Linked DNA regions of Saccharomyces cerevisiae S288C. The protein of the gene in region 1 binds, or shares a complex with, the protein of each later gene. Each region holds a gene or a part of one and is shown in the gene's direction. Other genes may lie near its edges. The genes, in order: RPC19, RPC37, RET1 and RPA135.

Evidence for each region.
Region 2: RPC19 (region 1) and RPC37 share a complex: the UniProt entries of both Saccharomyces cerevisiae proteins name them as parts of the RNA polymerase III (Pol III) complex.
Region 3: RPC19 (region 1) and RET1 share a complex: the UniProt entries of both Saccharomyces cerevisiae proteins name them as parts of the RNA polymerase III (Pol III) complex.
Region 4: RPC19 (region 1) and RPA135 share a complex: the UniProt entries of both Saccharomyces cerevisiae proteins name them as parts of the RNA polymerase I (Pol I) complex.

Annotation. Positions count from the first base shown.
Region 1 is NC_001146.8:410,153-414,437, forward strand, and holds RPC19 (DNA-directed RNA polymerase core subunit RPC19), read left to right. Parts: upstream 1-2,618; coding exon 2,619-3,047; downstream 3,048-4,285. Other genes in the region: YNL115C (uncharacterized protein), read right to left, coding at 1-1,901; DEAD-box ATP-dependent RNA helicase DBP2, read left to right, coding at 3,487-4,285. UniProt on the Saccharomyces cerevisiae protein: DNA-dependent RNA polymerases catalyze the transcription of DNA into RNA using the four ribonucleoside triphosphates as substrates.
Region 2 is NC_001143.9:484,502-489,294, forward strand, and holds RPC37 (DNA-directed RNA polymerase III subunit C37), read left to right. Parts: upstream 1-3,268; coding exon 3,269-4,117; downstream 4,118-4,793. Other genes in the region: RQT4 (Rqt4p), read left to right, coding at 1-510; DBP7 (putative ATP-dependent RNA helicase), read right to left, coding at 643-2,871; GCN3 (translation initiation factor eIF2B subunit alpha), read right to left, coding at 4,237-4,793. UniProt on the Saccharomyces cerevisiae protein: DNA-dependent RNA polymerase catalyzes the transcription of DNA into RNA using the four ribonucleoside triphosphates as substrates. Specific peripheric component of RNA polymerase III which synthesizes small RNAs, such as 5S rRNA and tRNAs.
Region 3 is NC_001147.6:728,790-735,940, reverse strand, and holds RET1 (DNA-directed RNA polymerase III core subunit RET1), read left to right. Parts: upstream 1-2,483; coding exon 2,484-5,933; downstream 5,934-7,151. Other genes in the region: tyrosine protein phosphatase PTP2, read right to left, coding at 1-2,016; mRNA-binding ribosome synthesis protein NOC2, read right to left, coding at 6,297-7,151. UniProt on the Saccharomyces cerevisiae protein: DNA-dependent RNA polymerase catalyzes the transcription of DNA into RNA using the four ribonucleoside triphosphates as substrates. Second largest core component of RNA polymerase III which synthesizes small RNAs, such as 5S rRNA and tRNAs.
Region 4 is NC_001148.4:575,638-582,914, reverse strand, and holds RPA135 (DNA-directed RNA polymerase I core subunit RPA135), read left to right. Parts: upstream 1-1,718; coding exon 1,719-5,330; downstream 5,331-7,277. Other genes in the region: MRA1 (Mra1p), read left to right, coding at 181-213, 357-542; SUT2 (Sut2p), read right to left, coding at 5,557-6,363. UniProt on the Saccharomyces cerevisiae protein: DNA-dependent RNA polymerases catalyze the transcription of DNA into RNA using the four ribonucleoside triphosphates as substrates. Component of RNA polymerase I (Pol I) which synthesizes ribosomal RNA precursors.

The DNA of each region.
Region 1 (4,285 bases):
AATCTTAATAGGACTTCTTGAGTTTGTTGTTTGCCCAGACCATACTTATATATTTCATGCCCACCTTCAACTATTTTCCATTCTTGAGTCTTGTGAGAAATTTTGGTCAAATCTCTTTGCCAATCGCCCCATAATGCCGACTTCTTCACCATTTCCTTAGAGCTAACGATGCTTGTCTTCACATTTTGCAAAGATTCTGCATTGTTTGTCACATCTCTGTAACTTAGAATTGAACTCGTCACGCTTTCCAAAAACTTGGAACGCAAGAAACGTCCTTGATATTTCATATCACGCCCATATATACGTTCTTTAGACCCATGATGAGCTAGTAACCATGAAGTCTGTAATCTCCATCCTAAACTCGACCAAATGCCTTTCCACCATAATCTAAATTCGTTATGCCTTTCTATCTCCGAAGGTAACCAAGTCTTATCATGGTTGCGGCCATCCCCATCATTACCATTGCCATCGTCGCCATCGTCGCCATCACCACGGCCTGGAGGTAGTAATCTTTGAATGTAGTTTTTTAACAATAGTTCTTCATGCCATGATTCAACAAGCATCATGCTATCCACAATATCGACATTCTTGGCGGTAAATACTCTTGTAAATAGCCCGCCAAGGTCGTATCCTACTGTAGTGAAGGGACCTTTAATTTTTGCATCTTTGATCAATGCGTACCTTAAAGATTCCGCAACCATCGCAATAGAGATTGGGGCGGGAGGAGAATCGCTCAACCCGTACCCTGGTCTATCGTATAGACAATATCTTTGAATTTTGTCTAAATGATATAGTTCCTCAATCCAGGTGGCAGAAAGGTAACCAGTATCATAACCTCCGTGTTCAAACAAGATGATAGGTTGCTTCTTATTTTCAGACAAATCTGTGTTGTTTTCTTGATCAAATACGTCACCATAACAAGTTATATGCAACTGATAGGTTTTAGCGGCATCTACGTAATGGAACGCCTCGTACGAGGGCGACTGAACGGTTATTGGTAATTTGTGAGTCAATCTGTAGGTATCCAATGTCGTTAAAAGTGTATTCAGGGTGAATAAAGCGAAGAATATTAAAATTAAAAACTTAATAGTATTCCTGAACCCAATGGATACCCATTCTGTCAATGTATGTTTGTTTTGGACCAGCTGCGAGCGGTGGGTGGGGGTTGGCGACCCAGAGCCATATTGGCTTCTGTCCCTGTTTTCGGTACTATTTGTATGGTTTTCGTTGAAAGTACTAATATTAGCATCATCAATTCTGCGTTCCTCCAATGGCTCATTTATTGAGTTGTTGTAAAACAAGAGATACCAATCTAATATTGCCCCAATAAAAAATGAAAACGAAGTCCACAAATATGTAAACGTGCCCACAAAGCCGATTCTTTGCCTAGTGTATTTAATTAGATAGGTCAATGCTAGATTGAACAACGTCAAAACACAGAGAGTTACATTTAAGCTGTAATCTAAAGCTGAGTACAGTCCCAGCTTATTAAACCAGAGATTGAAAGAATTAGCTATGATCGAGATGAATATTAAAGTCAAGTCGTTAAAACTTGCGTACCTGTTACTGAATCCGAAAAGAATATTGATATTGAAAAAGAAATCTGAAATCAAAGTGGTGACTAGCCAGATGGTGTTAATTAGAATTAGGATATTTAATATCCATTTGGAGTTATGAATAAAGATTCTATAACCTTTGCGAATTTGAAAGAGACTATCTTTGATGAACCCATCGGATTCAATGTCACGACCTTCATTAACTGCTGGGCCATTCGCGGATCCTGCACCAAGGGTCCGGTGGTTGTTGTTCAGCAACGGTTGCGCTTCTGGGTGTTCACTATCTATATCTGTTCTTTCCATTCCCGTCCTTGCCGGATCATTATCTAAACCATTAGCCTTCATGATCTGTTCGCTCTGATGCCTACAGTTCTTTCTTCAATGGCTTTCCTTTCCTTTCCTCCTTATAGAATATAGCAAGGCATCTAACTTTTAGTTTTTCTCTCATCCCTTTAAACTGCACGATGGTTAAAATTAGGGGTCCGAATAGCCTTGCAAGGAATAGATTAAAGAACACTATATATGCATAGCCACTTCAAAACGTGCTGAGAACATGCCATCAAGGTTGACCAATACGATTGCTGATTCGACAACTTCTACATTACATAGGCATATACATATCAGAAAAACGTGCTTTATAGGTACATTTTTTAATTCCTTAAACATAACTTGCTTCTATTTTGGGATAGTTCCTTTTCTTTGAACTACGTTTTTTGGGCAGAAATATAAAAAAAAACCGAAAAAAACGGCACGCAAGAAAGCTTATTCAAAAAGACGCAACAATATCATAGATTATTCTAAGTACCAACAACGTGATAAACTTTGTTCTAATAAAGCTACATCTTATCTCTTCTGTACAGCTTTATTGGGGTGAATCATATTTACTTCAATCCGGGTAATGGTAAACGTAACAAGTGATAGAAATATTCACCTGCGATGAGCTGGAAAAAAAAAAAATTTCAAAAGAAAACCATACTAATGCTGAGGTATAAAGTAACGAATTGGGGAAAGGCCATCAATCCAAAGTCGGAAAAATTGAACTTCACATAAAGTACCAGGCAAATGACTGAAGACATCGAACAAAAAAAGACCGCTACAGAGGTAACACCACAAGAACCAAAGCACATCCAAGAAGAAGAAGAACAGGATGTTGATATGACTGGCGATGAAGAACAGGAAGAGGAACCAGACAGGGAAAAAATTAAGCTTCTCACACAGGCAACATCTGAAGATGGAACTAGTGCCTCTTTTCAAATTGTAGAGGAGGATCACACGCTTGGAAATGCCCTTCGTTACGTTATAATGAAAAATCCAGACGTAGAATTTTGTGGTTACTCGATACCTCATCCTTCTGAAAACCTATTAAATATCAGAATTCAAACCTACGGTGAAACGACCGCGGTGGATGCTCTTCAAAAAGGGCTAAAGGACTTGATGGATTTATGTGACGTTGTAGAATCTAAGTTTACTGAAAAAATCAAGAGCATGTAGATGTTACGGATCGACTCAAAGACCCTCTGTCACTCTGAAATTTCTAATAATTATGCACACCACGCTAGTATAGATACAGCTTGATTTGTGTATCCCGTTTATAGTCGTGCTATTTAAAATCTATGTATAATATAACCAGATAAAAATACACCTTCGTACAAGGTGCTAATAATGTTGAGAATTCGAAATTCCTTTTTAAAGGCGTATTCCGTATTGAATGATTGAAAAATTTATTTCTTTTTTTATTTCTTTTTTTTTTTTTTTTTTTTTTTTTTACGCCGATGCTCATCGCAGAAAATTTTTCCTTCAGTTTATTTGTCTTATAAAAAGACTGTCCTACGCTCAAATAACTTATACTTTTCTGTATCTCATTCAAATTATTTTCTTGTCAACAACCTGTAACAGAATTAAGCACTATTAAGGCAAATTTAGAGCAAATATGACTTACGGTGGTAGAGATCAGCAATATAACAAGACTAACTACAAGTCTAGAGGTGGCGACTTCCGCGGTGGAAGAAACTCTGATAGAAACTCTTACAATGACAGACCACAAGGCGGTAACTACCGTGGTGGTTTCGGTGGTCGTTCCAATTACAACCAACCCCAGGAATTGATCAAACCAAACTGGGATGAAGAATTACCCAAATTGCCAACTTTCGAAAAGAATTTCTATGTTGAACACGAAAGTGTTCGCGACAGATCGGACAGTGAGATTGCTCAGTTCAGAAAGGAAAATGAAATGACTATTTCCGGACACGATATTCCAAAGCCAATCACCACTTTCGATGAAGCTGGTTTCCCAGACTACGTTTTGAATGAAGTGAAGGCTGAAGGATTTGACAAACCAACTGGCATTCAATGTCAGGGTTGGCCAATGGCTTTATCTGGTAGGGACATGGTTGGTATTGCTGCCACTGGTTCCGGTAAGACTTTGTCTTATTGTTTACCAGGTATTGTTCATATCAACGCTCAACCATTATTGGCTCCAGGCGATGGACCAATTGTTTTGGTTTTGGCTCCAACTAGAGAATTGGCTGTTCAAATTCAAACAGAATGTTCCAAGTTTGGTCATAGTTCCAGAATCAGAAATACCTGTGTCTACGGTGGTGTTCCAAAAAGTCAACAAATCAGAGATTTATCTCGTGGCTCTGAAATTGTTATTGCTACTCCAGGTCGACTAATTGATATGCTAGAGATTGGTAAGACTAATTTGAAGAGAGTCACTTACCTGGTTCTTG
Region 2 (4,793 bases), on another chromosome or scaffold:
GGTTTATGGGGCAGCGCAAGAGAAAGAGCTCTTGCGTTGAAGAAGCAACAACGTAATTTGAGAAAGTGGGAAAAAGTAGAAAAGGAACGGAATGGCAGGCGCGAGAAGTACGTTGTTAGCATGAATATAGGTTCAAACGGTAAAGTTACTATGACAGAAGTCCCTAAGGATACAGAGAACGTAATTGCAGGTTCAGATGATGACATCAGTGATATAAGTGACGAAGAAGATATCAGCGACCTTAAACATATACACGCTCTGAAAAGTGAAATAAATACAACGAAATCCTTGGAGAATTTGCATTTACAGTCCAAAGCATGGGATTACGAACGTGATAAAAAACAATTCGATAGGCCTACGTATGTGAAAAAAAATTCAGATACTGCACAACAGAATAGAAAAACGGAAGAAAAGGCTCACGACATGCAAGCTTATGATTTAAAGTCAAGAGTACAAGTGGACCAAAATGCAGACGCATCAGTAGAACAGAATATTCTTGCTGTACTTTGATGAATGGTAAAAGTTTATATTATATATGATAGAGGATATAACCGTTATTCATTTTCTGTAGATTTTATCATTTTCTTTGTCTTCATAGTATACAATTTTTTTTTATATGAATTAATGCTTGTTCTTGTCTATTTAGTAGTTAAACTCACTTGCTATTTGCTTCTCTGCCATACGAGCCATACGAAACATTTTATTTTTAGAGTTTTCCTTAGTTGGCTTCTTTTCACTATTACCATCCTTACTACTTTGCAATCCCATAGCCTTTGGCCTTTCACGTAACCCAAAACTTTTAGCTAAATGGCCTAGATGTAAGAACTTCACGTTGAAAAACTTCTTTTCTTGAGAGATATGCGTTGCGTAAGCCCTCACATGACTAATGAAACCTTTAACGGCCAAATTTTTGAATGCGGAATCTCCCACTACTCGTCTTTCTATATTCAAATGCCATGTCGTAGCATTGGTATCCCACTCATATTCTTTATCGCCCACGTCTTTATTTTTGGACGATTTCTCATCTTTTCTAATGAATTTATCATTTCTGTTGACATTCACATCTTTGAAAGCCGGCATTAGTATTTCTTTATCGAATTTCAGTAATTCCCAACCCATCGGATGATACGGCTGGATATAGTCCATATATTTTTCTTCTTCGCCAGGAAGTAAAAATAACAAACTTTCACCCTTCTCACCGGCCCTTGCTGTACGACCAACTCTATGTAAATGGTCTTCAACAGCAAATGGTGGATCCAACTCAATAACAGATCCAACGTGGGGAAGGTCTAGGCCTCTACTTGCGACATCTGTACAGAACATAATAAGATGTTTTCCCTTGGTGGCTTCATTATCACGAGCAAAATGCTGCAATGTAGAGGTTCTCATTTGTTGGGATAAAGAACCGTGCAATTTATAAATCACTACATCTGGGTCCCTAGAATCTGAAAAACAAGGAAACATAGTGTTTCCTTTTGTCAATAGTCTTACAGAATCACCCGTTAGATTTTTATGGTGCCCGTCACTTCCTGAAAATGCGTCATAATGAAACTCCACGCTGTCTGAACATGATACGAATACGATTGTACGCAGCGTTTTGGACTGTTGACCGGAAGCGATGAAATCTTTGGTAATGTTGTTCAAAGTAGCAGCTAATGTTACAAGACGCAACTTTGGTGGGACAATAGTAATCCTCTGCAATAGTTGATCGGGCGCAACCGTTACTATATCAGAATCTTTCTTGGTACCGTTGCTAATCAATTTGTAATCTTTCAACGCCACGTTTCTTAACCTATTAACACCATCAGTAAGTGTAGCACTACATAACATGTGCACTAACTTATGCGGTAGCTTGGGAAATTTTTCGGAGTTGATGGGAATATCGTGAACAATTTTAATAATTTCACTGATCGTCTCATCAAAACCCAATTCCATTAACTTATCTCCTTCATCCAATACGATATACCTTAGAGATTGACTCAATTGCTCCTTGATAACTTTTGTATTTTGTAAATGATCCAAAACACGACCTGGTGTACCGATTATGAAATTGCAACCCTTACGCAATCTAGCTTTTTCTGATTTCTTACGTTCTCCACCAATCAATAAACATGGGACCAAGTAGTGACAACATGACACAAGCGTGGAACAAACATGATATATTTGTGATGCTAGTTCTCGTGTAGGAGCAATAACCAATGCAAATGCACCAGAAGTACGATCAACATGAGTATCCATGTTCAAAATAGTAGATATTATAGGTAAAAGATACGATAAAGTCTTACCTGAGCCTGTTTGGGCGTGAATGAAAAAATCGTTCTTCCCCGCGTTACCTATTATTTGAGGTATGGCCTGCTTCTGGATGCTCGTAGGCTTTTTAATACGCATTTTTTGCTCCAGATGAGAAACAAGAAGACTAGAGACACCTAAAGACGCAAACTGATCACCTTTCAAGGGCGCGTTAGACGGATTGATGGCAACGTTTTCATCATGAATATTAGTGTTTACCGCAGTTGTAATCTCTCTGTTAGATGTAAACAGGGATGAAACAAACTGAGAATCGGCTGGTAGAGTTCTCCCTTGAGTGTTATGAGCATTTCTACCCTTATATTTTTCCTGCTCTTCAGAACTATAGGAACTCTCCTTATGCAATTTTTTAATAGAATTCTCGCCTCTACCCGGAATTATCCCTTCGTCCCCTGTAGTGTTCGCCTTTCTTTTCCTCGAGACTGTCTTGCCCTCAAGCTTCATTTTCATTCTTCTTCTATCCTTCCATCTACCGCCTGTCACCTTGGCAGCTTGCTTATAGGAACTTCCTGCAGTGTCCTCATTGGTAGTGAAGTTTAACAGCATAGAATCTTCATCGCTCATCTTGGTGTTAAATTGCTGAATAAGTATGCTTATTTGGAATATGAATAATCCCAAAGGAAAAAGAATATAAACAATCGTACTTTCTTAAATTAGAAATATCACATACAAGTACTCAATCTTTTATTTTCCTAAGCTCATCGCAAATTTTTCAAGTAAAATGGAAACCTAATATGTCAGGGTTTTTAATCCATATTGTTAGGGCAACATTCAATTTTAAACTGAAATTTTATAAAAACTCTGTTCATTTTTCAGGCCTTAGGGTTAGTATTCTGACAAAATTATTCAAGAAAAAAAGAAATGTTACAATGAATGCAAAAGATGGATAAAAGCGAGAGATGAGCTTAAATGATCTGGCTCAAGCAGTGCAAGGTGAAAGTGGAATAGGCTAGTGTTATAGATGAGTATTGACAACAAGTTGTTTGTTACTGAAGAGGATGAGGAAGACAGGACGCAGGACCGTGCTGATGTTGAGGATGAATCTAACGACATTGATATGATAGCGGATGAGAACGGAACAAACAGCGCTATAGCTAATGAGCAAGAGGAAAAATCCGAAGAAGTAAAAGCTGAAGATGATACTGGTGAAGAAGAAGAGGATGACCCAGTGATCGAAGAGTTTCCATTGAAGATCTCCGGAGAAGAGGAGTCACTGCACGTGTTTCAGTATGCTAATAGACCAAGGCTAGTAGGACGCAAACCTGCTGAGCATCCGTTTATCTCTGCAGCAAGATATAAACCCAAGTCGCACCTATGGGAAATAGATATTCCTTTGGATGAGCAGGCCTTCTATAACAAGGATAAGGCTGAGAGCGAATGGAATGGGGTTAATGTCCAAACATTAAAAGGCGTGGGTGTGGAAAACAATGGCCAATATGCAGCATTTGTCAAAGATATGCAGGTTTATTTGGTACCTATTGAGAGGGTAGCACAATTGAAGCCATTTTTCAAATATATCGACGACGCAAATGTAACAAGAAAGCAAGAGGACGCCAGAAGGAACCCTAATCCTTCATCACAACGCGCTCAAGTGGTTACCATGTCTGTAAAGAGCGTCAACGACCCTTCGCAAAACAGACTCACTGGCTCCCTGCTGGCACATAAAGTCGCCGATGAAGAGGCTAATATTGAATTGACCTGGGCAGAAGGCACGTTTGAACAGTTCAAAGATACTATCGTGAAAGAAGCTGAAGATAAAACTTTAGTAGCCTTAGAGAAACAAGAAGACTATATAGATAATCTAGTTTGAAGTACATAATGCATCATGAAGAAAGAACAGCATCAGACATCAGTTTCACATAAAGGATGCTCTTGCGCTTTTTCTCCTTTTCTATTAAGTCATTGCGTGCATATATTATGTGATTTTTTTTAATCATACCACATCTTGATTAACTCTTCTGAAACGGCACTTGGAGTGAGGACCCCTAAATCTGTAATCAATGCAGTAATGTATTCTTGGGCGGTATAGTCGATCGTGGGCCCACGCAATGCATCTTCTAGATCGTCCGTACGACGTGTGAAATCCAAAGGAGGGCCGGCCATAGGTAGATCATCTGAAGACAATGGAAACATACGAACAAATTTGTGACTTTCAGTGACCACATAGAATGGTTTTCTTGCATTATGTGCTAAAACACCCACTGAATAGGTACCCACGAGATTTATAATACCACCTGATTCAGCAACACCCTCAGCACCAACGAACACTTTGTCAACCTTATCGATTACCGCTCCAACCGCGCTATCGACAATAAGAGTCACGGGTATGCCCTTTTGTTCAAGTAAAGTATATAGCTGGTTCCCTTGTTTGCTAGGTCTTGATTCTGTCACCACACATCTGAACCTAATAAACTTATTTGCTGCATGATTTAATAAAGAAAATACTGCTCTCGAATAACCATGTACCAAGATGATATCATCATCAG
Region 3 (7,151 bases), on another chromosome or scaffold:
TCTTCCACACCCTGCAGAACAATGGACTAATAGTGGCGATGAATTTGCTGTATCGAGATGTAACTCACTATTATTATCATCTATCAAATCAGGCTTGCAAACATCCTTTTCGAGGCTTGTAATAAAACTTTGCGGGTTAAACAATAACGAATTTTTGACTTTGTGTAGTTTAATGATGTCATTCATATCTACGCCGCATGAATCTAACCAATTCTTGTATTGTAATTGGTAAACAATAAACGGCTCGGATACAGCCATGGTAATGGAAGTAAGGTCACCATTATGCGGAAGGTCACAATCTTGACTGATATTATCATTTTGTGGAGCTGTTTTCTTGACTTGAAAGACTCTGAGAACACAGCCATTAATATTGCAAATATTCTCCCAGGTGTTCTGAAGTTTGATAGTGTGGTTGGAATATGACAGATTATTCCAGTAAATATCCCATTTTCTTAAATTCAATTCATCGTCAGAATTCAATGATATTATTACTTTAACTTTATTTAAAGTAATAACCTTCCAAAAATCATCCATCGTAGAAGGAAGCGGAGCTTGGGTAGCAATATACTTGAAATCAGGATTAATTTGCGTGAGCTTCAAATAGTTCGCATTGATATAGTCGTTCGGTTTGCAGGAGTGGTTTTTTGCATCTACGGGACACATCGGATATGACTTATCTGTTTTAGTTTCGGTTGTGGATGCTTCAGAAACTGCAGGTGGTTTCGGGGAGTGAGGTAACTTTACTCTTGAATGTTCGTAAGGTAAGATATTAGAATATCTATTCTTAGTAAAAGACTGAATTCCTTCAGTAAGTTCGTAATCATTTATTGGTGACATTATAGTATCATCGGAAGATAATGGTGATGGCGAAGAAGATGTGTTGTTTTTTGGTATAATTAATTTTAGCTTTTGATTTTTCTGTATGTTGCTTTTCAAAGAACTTTTATACTGTCGTTGCAAACTAGTTAAAGAATATAATTTTGAATCATCCGTGGATTGCGGACCCCTCTGCTTTTGTGATAGCTGCTTTTGATGTAAAGGCTTTTTCTTGAATTTCAGGCATTTCTCTAATCTTTGCATTTCAAAATTTTCTAAAGTTTCAAAATTGTTAAAGAGTTTCTTTAATATTACCTTTTCATTTTCTTTTACGGAGCAGAATTTTAGCCAATTCGGTAAAATCGTGTCGTTAGGTGCTAAGTCAGCAGGCATATTGAATTGGAAAAACTTTTGCAAAGAATTAGGAGAATAATGAATTAGATCCTTTTTCAGAGACTGTAAAAATATTTTATTTGAATCATTGGGTGGAGGTATGTTTATTCTTAAATTTAAAGTTGACCTTGAAGTTAAGTTTACATTCAAGTTCAAATCCAATTTGGGCAAGATGCAATTTTTCTTATTTTTTCCTAATGAGGGGGCCTTGCTATCATTCAGAGAGCCTTCGAGAAGAAAGAATTTCAAATAAGGAGATGGAAAAAAATGGCAGATGAACTTTTTAAACTTCTCAATGAGGCAAAAAGTTGTCTTTAAACAACTCGAAATTCTGCTAAACGAATCACTGAAAATGAAAATATCATAATCTTTGATGATCTTTGTGAACTCAATATACTTTTCATCAGATCCAAGGTAATTCTTTAGTAAGTTCTCGAACGGGTAGTTCGACCTTTTCACCAAAGTGCTGGGTAGCGGCAACGATAAAACTGTGATATCCTTAGCATTGGTATTGCCTAAAAATGAGTTGGTATTGGGGCCAGCGCACAGATCTAGTAAAAGTATTTTAGAATGCCTATTAGAGTTGTTCCGCCGTATGTTAACGTCGTCCAAATCTTTGCACGGTTTAATTTGATTTTGGGGAAGGTTAGACAGATTTATAGTTTCACCTCTATAGACGGGCATTTGACCAGGTGTTCTAGTTTGATTGACTTGTATGTGGCCCTTTTCCGATATAGCGGAAGAAGCCATTCTATTGCCGTTATTGTCTCTTTTGCCATTACGATATTGCTGTGCTATGCGATCCATCAATAGCAACGTCGATCCTATTTTATTGTAAACTATTAATAGCACTGGGGATCGGACCTAGGCTTCCAAACTAAGCGAAAAGGGCTGTGCAAAGCGGAAGAGGGGAACCAGGGGAATCGGGTCTGTCAGGTTGAGTGATCTCGTCTTTCTTGTCAAAGGTCGCAGCGCGGTGTTCAAAGAAAGATGATGATTCAAAGTTGGCACTTCCCAAAGGTTTTAATAGGTGCATTATTTTTATATATTCCTTATTGTTAGGTGTACTACACATAAAGATATAAATAGTTCCATAAAGCAGGCGCGTATTTTCCAGATCACGTCGGACGAAATTGTAATTGTGAGATGAGCTGAAAATTTTTCGATCTATGCTTAAGTGATGATATATGGACAAGTTAGGAAAGAATTAAAGGGAGTTTAAAGTGTTGATAATTGAGCGTTTTAATCGCTAGGGACTTAGTGCTTGTTGAAAAATGGTTGCTGCGACAAAAAGACGGAAAACTCATATACATAAGCATGTGAAAGACGAGGCTTTTGATGATTTATTGAAACCAGTATATAAAGGTAAGAAACTAACTGATGAAATCAATACTGCTCAGGATAAGTGGCACCTTTTACCAGCATTCTTGAAGGTTAAAGGTTTGGTGAAGCAACATCTTGACTCATTTAACTACTTCGTTGATACAGATTTAAAAAAAATTATAAAGGCAAATCAATTAATTTTGAGTGATGTTGATCCAGAATTCTACCTGAAGTACGTCGATATTAGAGTGGGTAAGAAGTCCTCTTCTTCGACAAAAGATTATTTGACTCCGCCTCATGAGTGTAGGCTTAGAGATATGACATACTCTGCACCAATCTACGTGGATATAGAATACACTAGAGGTAGAAACATTATTATGCATAAAGACGTGGAAATTGGTAGGATGCCGATCATGCTGAGATCTAATAAATGTATCCTATATGATGCTGATGAATCGAAAATGGCTAAATTAAACGAGTGTCCGTTGGATCCTGGTGGTTACTTTATTGTTAACGGTACCGAAAAAGTAATTCTTGTTCAAGAACAATTATCCAAGAATCGTATTATTGTGGAGGCAGATGAGAAGAAAGGCATTGTTCAGGCCTCCGTTACTTCATCTACCCATGAAAGAAAATCTAAGACTTATGTCATTACCAAAAATGGCAAGATCTATTTGAAGCACAATTCCATCGCTGAAGAAATTCCTATTGCTATTGTTCTCAAAGCCTGTGGTATTTTATCAGATTTAGAAATTATGCAATTGGTTTGCGGTAATGATAGTAGCTACCAAGATATTTTTGCAGTCAATTTGGAAGAATCTTCGAAATTAGATATTTACACACAACAGCAAGCTTTAGAGTATATTGGTGCAAAAGTAAAGACAATGAGAAGGCAAAAACTGACTATCCTGCAAGAGGGTATAGAGGCCATTGCTACCACGGTTATTGCACATTTGACTGTGGAAGCCCTTGACTTTAGAGAAAAGGCTTTATATATTGCCATGATGACGCGCAGGGTGGTGATGGCAATGTATAACCCTAAGATGATTGATGATAGAGATTATGTTGGTAATAAACGTCTTGAATTAGCAGGCCAATTGATTTCTTTATTGTTCGAAGATTTGTTCAAAAAGTTTAATAATGATTTTAAACTAAGCATTGATAAGGTCTTGAAAAAACCAAATAGGGCTATGGAATACGATGCATTATTGTCAATTAACGTCCATTCAAATAACATCACCAGCGGACTGAACAGAGCTATCTCAACCGGTAATTGGTCTCTTAAAAGATTTAAGATGGAAAGAGCGGGTGTTACACATGTTCTTTCCAGACTATCTTATATTTCCGCATTGGGTATGATGACAAGAATTTCTTCTCAGTTTGAAAAATCAAGAAAAGTTTCCGGTCCAAGAGCATTACAACCTTCTCAATTTGGTATGCTTTGTACTGCAGATACTCCAGAAGGTGAGGCGTGTGGTCTAGTGAAAAATTTAGCATTAATGACTCATATTACTACAGATGACGAAGAGGAACCTATAAAGAAATTATGTTATGTTCTTGGTGTAGAAGACATAACATTGATTGACAGTGCATCCTTGCATTTAAACTATGGTGTTTATTTGAATGGTACTTTAATTGGTTCAATCAGATTCCCAACAAAATTCGTTACTCAGTTCAGACATCTGAGAAGAACAGGTAAAGTGTCGGAGTTTATCTCAATTTATTCAAATTCTCACCAAATGGCAGTTCATATTGCAACAGATGGTGGTAGAATTTGTAGGCCATTAATCATTGTTTCTGATGGTCAATCTCGCGTGAAAGATATTCATTTACGCAAATTATTAGATGGTGAGTTAGATTTCGATGATTTTTTGAAACTCGGATTGGTGGAATATTTAGATGTCAATGAAGAAAACGATTCTTACATTGCATTGTATGAAAAAGATATAGTTCCCTCGATGACACATTTAGAAATCGAGCCATTCACAATTTTAGGTGCTGTTGCTGGTTTAATTCCATATCCACATCATAACCAATCCCCTCGTAACACATATCAATGTGCGATGGGTAAGCAAGCGATTGGTGCAATCGCCTACAATCAATTCAAGAGAATAGATACATTATTATACTTGATGACTTATCCACAACAGCCAATGGTGAAAACCAAAACAATTGAATTGATCGATTATGATAAATTACCTGCTGGTCAAAATGCTACGGTTGCTGTCATGTCCTATTCTGGTTATGATATTGAAGATGCTTTGGTTTTGAATAAGTCATCCATCGATAGAGGTTTCGGCCGTTGCGAAACACGTAGAAAGACAACCACTGTTTTGAAAAGATATGCGAACCATACCCAAGATATCATCGGTGGTATGAGAGTTGATGAAAATGGAGATCCTATCTGGCAACATCAATCTCTTGGTCCTGATGGTCTAGGTGAGGTGGGTATGAAGGTCCAAAGTGGACAAATTTATATAAATAAGTCAGTTCCAACTAACTCAGCAGACGCCCCAAACCCAAACAACGTAAACGTCCAAACTCAATATAGGGAAGCTCCGGTAATATATAGAGGTCCAGAACCTTCTCACATTGACCAAGTTATGATGTCTGTTTCGGATAACGATCAAGCTTTAATCAAAGTTTTGCTAAGACAAAACAGAAGGCCAGAATTAGGTGACAAATTTTCTTCTAGACATGGTCAAAAAGGTGTTTGTGGTATTATTGTAAAGCAAGAAGACATGCCCTTCAACGATCAAGGTATAGTTCCAGACATTATCATGAACCCTCACGGTTTTCCATCTCGTATGACTGTGGGTAAAATGATCGAACTGATATCGGGTAAAGCTGGTGTATTGAATGGTACATTGGAATATGGTACTTGTTTTGGTGGTTCTAAACTTGAAGATATGTCTAAGATTTTGGTAGACCAAGGTTTCAACTATTCCGGTAAGGATATGTTATATTCAGGTATAACAGGTGAGTGTTTACAGGCTTACATCTTTTTTGGCCCCATTTACTATCAAAAGTTAAAGCATATGGTCTTAGATAAGATGCATGCAAGAGCTCGTGGTCCAAGGGCTGTTTTGACACGTCAACCAACTGAGGGTAGATCTAGAGATGGTGGTCTGAGGTTGGGTGAGATGGAGAGGGATTGTGTAATCGCGTATGGTGCTTCACAATTGCTGTTAGAAAGGTTGATGATTAGTTCAGATGCTTTTGAAGTTGATGTCTGCGATAAATGTGGATTAATGGGCTATAGTGGTTGGTGTACTACCTGCAAAAGTGCTGAGAATATTATTAAGATGACTATTCCATATGCAGCAAAACTGTTATTCCAGGAATTATTATCCATGAACATAGCCCCAAGATTAAGATTGGAAGATATCTTCCAGCAGTAAGAAATCATATATCTTGTACTAAATTTTGCGTTATGTTAGCAATCATATCTATTTCGTGAGGAACTTTAAGAGAGTTGAACGATTTCGAAAATTATATAACAGTAAACCGTACTTCTTTCATTTTTGTACCTTGCTTTACATCATTACTTTTTATAAGATCCATCGAACGTTTGACGTGTTTTCTATCCATAAACCGGCCAAAATATAAAAATATCCAGCTGACAAGAGAAAGCTTGGAGTGCTCACATGTTAGCACATGTGAGCACAATGATATATACGCTTTAAAAAAGACTTTTCTTTATTTTACACATTTATAGACTTAACTATTGAATTCAAGACAAAAAATCAAATCTTGCTGAGTTGTTAAGCGTCTGACATTTCAACATCTTCGTTGTCATCATCACTTTCCAGACTGTTTAATAATTTTGCTTCTTCTGTTTCTCTTTCTTTGTCTTGTTCTTCCATACTTTCTCTCATTAATCTGGCCTTTTCTTCCTTAACTTCACGTTGTACTGCAACATAAGAACCTAAAGGTGTTTTATTCCAAGCTACATCATTCAAAAATCTTGAAACTTCAGATTTGTTTGTTGGCCCAAATTCAACATCTGATCTCTTTTCTTGGATGAATGTGCTGTTTTGGTTCAATTTTTCTACAACAGTTGATAAACGTTTGTTAAGTTTGACATTAGTTGAAGTCTTGATGTAACGGCGTAAAGAGATAATAACCGGTGTTACAAGTTCAGGAAATGCAATGTTTTTACAGTACAGAGCAAAATAATCGCCCAATAAGTCCACAAACTGTTCTGACAAACCCTCTTGGTATATTTTTGTATTCAGATAAGCTTGCGTACATTTGATGTTGTGCTCAAAATCGAAAGCAGCCAAGTTAGGGCTCTTTTTGGGTGCCTTAGTGAAAGCCGTTGAGGTTAAAATTTCAGAAAGTAAAGGATATATTGGAATAAAAACACCACTATTTTGAGAAAGTCTAATAAGTGATTTAATCAAATAAAATCTTAATGGGAAGAATTGTGGTGTTGGGATTAATCTGATTACACCCAAAGTAACCTGAACCAATGGGTAAATTAATTGTCGTAAAGGAGATTCACTGCCATTTTCCTTTTCTGGTTGACAAGCAAACGATAGTACACGAGACCAGAAATCCAAGGAGTGACAGAATTGCCAGTTGTATACAATCTTGTAAGCTTCTGCGGAATTAAT
Region 4 (7,277 bases), on another chromosome or scaffold:
GGATTTCCCGTACTTTATGATGAGCATGAGAACAGACTTTAAAGGCATCGCCATCTCCTCAAAAGCAACTATAACTCTTCCCATACCAGTATAAGCTAACTTTGTTTTGAGACTTATTTAATTTTGGTAGTTTCCTGAACGACTTCTGACAATACTTTAAAAAAAGAAAAATATAGAAAAATGAGACCAGCACAGTTACTGTTGAATACAGCTGTATGTTAAGGGATATTTTCTTTTTATTGTGACAAACGGATAATCATGCGTTCATTCTGACTTGATGCTTTCTAAGAAAACAATTATGTTGATTATGAATGCTAACTACAAGATTATAGAGTATTATACTAACAAAAAACTAGAAAAAAACATCTGGTGGCTACAAAATACCCGTCGAATTAACACCGTTATTTCTCGCTGTTGGTGTAGCTTTATGCTCTGGGACATACTTCACATATAAGAAATTAAGAACTGACGAGACTTTGAGATTGACAGGTAACCCAGAATTATCTAGTTTAGATGAAGTCCTTGCCAAAGATAAGGATTAAAAACCATGTTGATGATTTGTTATATTAATATCTACACTTAAAACATTTTCAATAATTGTCGGGAACAAATCGAAATATTATTTATTCTTCAAATATGACAAAACTAATGTATATTATATACATGTCAACACCACCATGACTATATGTTTAATTGATGTATAATCATTCCATTTTTACACGTGCTCTTTCTTGGCAGCGGTTAAGGGAACCTGATGATAGACCATGCAATAAAAAAGAAAGCCCTGTAGGGGGCTCGAACCCCTAACCTTATGATTAAGAGTCATACGCGCTACCGATTGCGCCAACAAGGCTCTTTTGTTGAAATAAAAAACCGAAACATCTTTATCTAACGAATATTTGGAAGGTGAACCTAACGATAAAATACTACACTATTCATATTGACTGACTGTATCAACGACGTTTAACAGCGATTATCTGCTTATCTCAATATGTGGTTAGCGATTACTTGTTCAAGTCGTTGCTTTACGTTTCTTTTGCAGTTTGATTGTTGCCTTCTCGAGGACAAATCAGTTTCAATGACGATAGAGGTTAGCAAAATTACTATATTAGTGAATTAGTAACGGAGACAAAAAGATTTGTTTAACGGCTTCTTTGTAGTCATCCTGCTGTTGTTTTTGTATGTTTAAGCTTCTTCCTCCGATTAAGTTTTGTACATTTACTTCTGTAAGTTAAAGGGCTCTTTTCTCATTATATTTCAAATGCTAAATCATGCCATGAAAACTTCAAAAAAGCATCAAATGAAGGAAGACGCTGATGACATCGAGTGATGAAATTATTCATAAATCTGCATCAGAGTGTTATATCTACAGAAGCAGACATGCTACAAGAGTTCAAAGCACTTAATGGCATTTCTAATAGATTCTCAGCGCCCTTTTGAGTCTCTGCACTACCACTTAATTATCATACCGCAGAAGCGGCCTCTCGGCCTCCCTTCATGCTATAATCGCTAATGACGGAAATTATTATTGAGATTACTCTTGCGAGTGTTTTTTTTTTTTTTTTTTTTTTTTTTTCGTATGAAAAATTTTTCAAGCGCATCTTAGAGACTCATCTCATCTCTTAATTATTCAAACTTACTTCAGCTGTCTCGTAATATTCAAGCAAGTCTTCCTCAAGAATATTGACAAATAAACGTAGAATTACGCATTTGGTGAGATGAGCAAAGTGATTAAGCCGCCTGGCCAAGCCAGAACTGCTGATTTCCGTACCTTAGAACGTGAATCTAGGTTCATCAATCCACCTAAGGATAAATCAGCATTTCCACTATTACAGGAAGCTGTTCAACCTCATATTGGGTCTTTTAACGCATTAACAGAAGGTCCGGATGGAGGTTTGTTAAATCTTGGTGTTAAAGACATCGGTGAAAAAGTTATATTTGATGGAAAACCACTCAATTCTGAAGACGAAATATCCAACAGCGGATACCTCGGGAATAAGCTTTCTGTTAGTGTGGAACAAGTGTCTATTGCGAAGCCAATGTCTAACGATGGTGTTTCTTCTGCAGTAGAGAGAAAAGTTTACCCAAGTGAGTCAAGACAAAGGCTTACTTCTTACAGAGGTAAATTACTTTTAAAGTTGAAGTGGTCCGTGAACAATGGCGAGGAGAACTTATTTGAAGTAAGAGATTGTGGTGGTCTACCAGTTATGCTACAGAGTAACAGATGTCACTTGAACAAGATGTCACCATATGAACTGGTACAACACAAGGAAGAATCCGATGAAATAGGTGGTTATTTCATTGTTAACGGTATAGAAAAGCTTATTAGAATGCTGATTGTGCAACGTAGAAATCATCCTATGGCTATCATCAGACCTTCCTTCGCTAACAGGGGTGCATCCTATTCTCATTACGGTATTCAAATTAGATCTGTCAGGCCGGATCAAACTTCCCAAACTAATGTTTTGCATTACTTAAATGACGGTCAAGTTACATTTAGATTTTCTTGGAGAAAAAATGAATATTTAGTTCCTGTTGTTATGATTTTAAAAGCCTTGTGTCATACCAGCGATAGGGAAATTTTTGATGGTATTATTGGTAATGACGTTAAGGATTCCTTTTTGACCGATCGTTTAGAATTACTGTTACGTGGTTTTAAGAAAAGATATCCTCATTTACAAAATCGCACACAAGTCTTGCAATATTTAGGAGACAAATTTCGTGTTGTCTTTCAAGCTTCCCCTGATCAATCTGATTTAGAAGTCGGACAAGAAGTCCTTGATCGCATCGTTCTCGTGCATTTGGGTAAGGATGGCAGCCAGGATAAATTCAGAATGTTATTGTTCATGATCAGAAAGTTGTATTCCTTGGTTGCAGGCGAATGTTCTCCAGATAACCCAGATGCTACGCAACATCAAGAAGTTCTTTTGGGTGGTTTCTTATATGGTATGATCCTAAAAGAAAAGATTGATGAGTACTTACAGAATATTATTGCTCAAGTCAGGATGGATATTAACCGTGGTATGGCCATTAATTTCAAAGACAAAAGGTACATGTCAAGAGTTTTAATGAGGGTTAATGAAAACATTGGTTCCAAAATGCAATACTTTTTATCAACTGGTAACCTGGTGTCCCAGTCTGGGTTAGATTTACAACAAGTTTCTGGTTATACTGTGGTTGCAGAAAAAATTAACTTCTACCGTTTTATCTCTCATTTTAGAATGGTTCATAGAGGCTCCTTTTTTGCGCAATTGAAAACTACCACAGTCAGAAAGTTGCTACCTGAGTCGTGGGGATTCCTGTGCCCTGTTCATACACCAGATGGTTCTCCTTGTGGTTTATTAAACCATTTTGCGCACAAGTGTCGTATATCAACTCAGCAATCTGACGTCTCAAGAATTCCTTCTATATTATACTCACTTGGTGTTGCTCCGGCATCTCACACCTTTGCTGCTGGTCCTTCTCTGTGTTGTGTTCAAATTGATGGTAAAATTATTGGCTGGGTCTCTCATGAACAAGGTAAGATCATTGCGGATACATTGAGATATTGGAAAGTTGAAGGCAAGACGCCTGGGTTACCGATTGATCTAGAAATTGGATATGTTCCTCCCTCAACTCGTGGTCAATATCCAGGTCTCTACCTATTTGGTGGTCATTCTAGGATGCTGCGTCCTGTTCGTTACCTGCCTTTGGATAAAGAAGACATTGTTGGACCTTTTGAGCAAGTGTACATGAACATTGCTGTCACTCCTCAAGAAATTCAAAATAACGTTCATACACACGTAGAATTTACGCCCACAAATATTCTTTCTATTTTGGCTAATTTGACTCCATTTTCTGATTTCAACCAGTCTCCAAGAAACATGTATCAATGTCAGATGGGTAAACAAACAATGGGTACTCCGGGTGTAGCTTTGTGCCATCGTTCCGACAATAAGCTGTATAGGTTGCAAACAGGTCAAACGCCTATCGTAAAAGCTAATTTATATGATGATTATGGCATGGATAACTTTCCAAACGGGTTTAATGCTGTTGTTGCGGTCATCTCGTATACTGGTTATGATATGGATGATGCAATGATTATAAACAAATCAGCAGATGAAAGAGGTTTCGGTTATGGTACTATGTATAAGACTGAGAAAGTGGATTTAGCACTTAACAGAAACCGTGGTGACCCAATTACACAGCATTTTGGTTTCGGGAATGACGAATGGCCAAAGGAGTGGCTTGAGAAATTAGACGAGGATGGTTTGCCATACATTGGCACTTATGTTGAAGAGGGTGATCCAATCTGCGCATACTTTGACGATACTTTAAATAAGACCAAAATCAAGACATATCACTCCTCTGAACCAGCATATATCGAAGAGGTAAATTTAATCGGTGATGAATCCAATAAGTTCCAAGAACTACAAACTGTTAGCATAAAATATCGTATTAGAAGAACGCCTCAAATTGGTGATAAATTTTCTTCTAGACACGGTCAAAAAGGTGTTTGTTCAAGAAAATGGCCAACCATTGATATGCCTTTTAGCGAAACAGGTATCCAACCAGACATCATCATTAACCCTCATGCTTTCCCTTCGCGTATGACCATTGGTATGTTCGTCGAATCTTTAGCAGGTAAAGCGGGGGCATTGCATGGTATTGCACAGGACTCTACACCTTGGATCTTTAACGAGGACGATACCCCAGCCGATTACTTTGGTGAGCAACTAGCGAAGGCGGGTTACAACTACCATGGTAATGAGCCAATGTACTCAGGTGCTACTGGTGAAGAATTAAGGGCAGATATTTATGTTGGTGTTGTCTACTACCAAAGATTACGTCATATGGTCAATGACAAGTTCCAAGTTCGTTCCACTGGTCCTGTGAATAGTTTGACTATGCAGCCTGTCAAAGGTAGAAAGAGACATGGTGGTATTCGTGTCGGTGAAATGGAAAGAGATGCTTTGATTGGGCATGGTACATCTTTTCTATTACAAGATCGTCTGCTAAATTCATCAGACTACACACAGGCATCCGTATGTCGCGAGTGTGGTTCTATTTTGACCACGCAACAGAGTGTGCCAAGAATTGGTTCGATTTCCACCGTTTGTTGCCGTCGTTGTTCCATGAGATTCGAAGATGCAAAGAAGCTATTGACTAAATCAGAAGATGGAGAGAAAATTTTTATTGACGACTCTCAAATTTGGGAAGATGGACAAGGTAACAAATTTGTTGGTGGTAATGAAACAACTACGGTGGCCATACCATTTGTGTTGAAGTACTTGGACTCTGAGCTATCCGCAATGGGTATAAGATTGCGTTATAATGTAGAGCCCAAATAGAGAAATACCCTTCTTTCCAAATTGATATAGAATGGTAAATGAAGGCTTGGTCAATTGTATCATATAGAGGTTTTTTATTGAATTACTTATACAAGAGCGCCCCGCAATAGAATATATATGTATGAGTAAACAAATTTATATCTTGCAGAAAAATATCTAACTTATTATTGGTGCGTTTTATTAATATTCCTATATTTTACATAGGAGGAAATTACATGCATGAAACCTAAAGGGTTTGGAAGCCAGCGGCAACATAATCATCGACAGTCATCTCGAAGATACTTTTGTCTTTAAGTTTACTATTTATCTTGGGAAATACGTTCATATCAGATTTTGTAAATCCTCTCGAAAAAAGACACTTTCCATTTTTTTGGTTTCTTCTACTGCAAGAGGTGCAGGCTTTGAAAAGGACTATTTTATCAAGGTGTTTTATGACTTCATATGTGCCCATCACGTCAGGCAGTTTCCTGAAAAACTTCATTCGAAACTGGTTTATGTCGTCTTGGGAAAGTGTATAATGCAAATTTGAAGAAATTGATGAAATTAGGTTCCTATCCTGTAAAAAGATAATGATTGTTGCATTGCATTTTATTTTCTTTATCCTACAAGAGTCACAACTTGGGCCGTCCCTCTGACGTTTTCTTTTGAGTCTGTTCGTTGCTATAGATGAAACAACCGCTGAATCGGTTGTTTCGCCGGAAGAAACAGTTTTATAGTATTCAGTGTACTCTGTTGGGCAACCAAGCTTGGGAAGCTTAGTCTTTTCGGATTCTTTTTGCCAATTACTATAACTGTGGTCTGCACATTGAATCGAAGAAACTGGCATAGATCCTTGCCCTGCCTGAATGTTTAAACGCTTTGGCAGTAAAGAGCAATCAGAAAACCCGAATGGTTGATATCTGCCATTGCTTGAAATTTGTCCTTTTAGCAATGAATCGTCACAGGTGTAACTGTTCAGTGCAGGCAGCAAAAGTGCAGGAAGAGATTCATCTTTGTTGGTAATTACATCACAAGTTCGATTGTTCGGCTTCATATCTGACGATTGATCCAAACAAACCAATAGCTTGGTGAGCGTCAGTTTGCCCTCTTCTTTGTTAAAAATTATCCAAGTGCGTTTTCTTTCTTATGGTCTATATGATAGAACTAATTCTTCATTCAAGAAAGTTTTTGTTGTACGTAATATAGAAGGACAACTACAGCCAGTCGAAGGAAAAAAAATTCCAAAAAAAATGCTAACCTTTAGCAAGAAAATTTCTTTTGTCAAACCTCCATTTAACCTTTGGTGGTTGATAAACATGAAATGGGCAATTTCACGAAAAGCTAAACTTTGTTTTCGTCTCCGCCTAGATGACTCTACCTTCAGGAGTAATATTTACACTATTTCTTCGCAGGCATTCGTTTATCGGCTTGGCAGGTCTAGATTTTTCTCTCCAATAAATTCTTTCCAAACATGTAAAGAAGATTTAGAATAAGAAATTTTAAAATTTAACGAAAGAATATATGAGCTAGCGGCGAAAACCCGCCGAGGTTTTGCCGTACATACCGTACATGTCTCCTTTCCATTATCAGCATCCAATTTTTATCTTACAGTAGGATGTTCATATTAAAGGAAAATGTATTTAAGCCCTTTCTTCCGTTTTCTCTTTTCCATTCTCCCGGCAAGTAAAAGTGGGTATCTTATCTCTTTCACTCGACTAGTGTAAGAAACGTAATACAGATTTTGTTGCTCGAAGAGCAAGAAGTGAGCAGTATAGTACACGTCAATGGAAGCAGTTTAGAATGGGGAGCGGTTAAAGCCCGAGACTCCCCAGGTAGATTGCACAGAGGACGCGCAAGTTCTTTTAAAATCTTGCCTGCAGAAAAAGAAATTATATTTATTTTCTTTTCTTTTGCCTACTTTTGATAAGTGAAGAGATAAGGTATGGAGCCCCGTAGTTTAAACCTAGA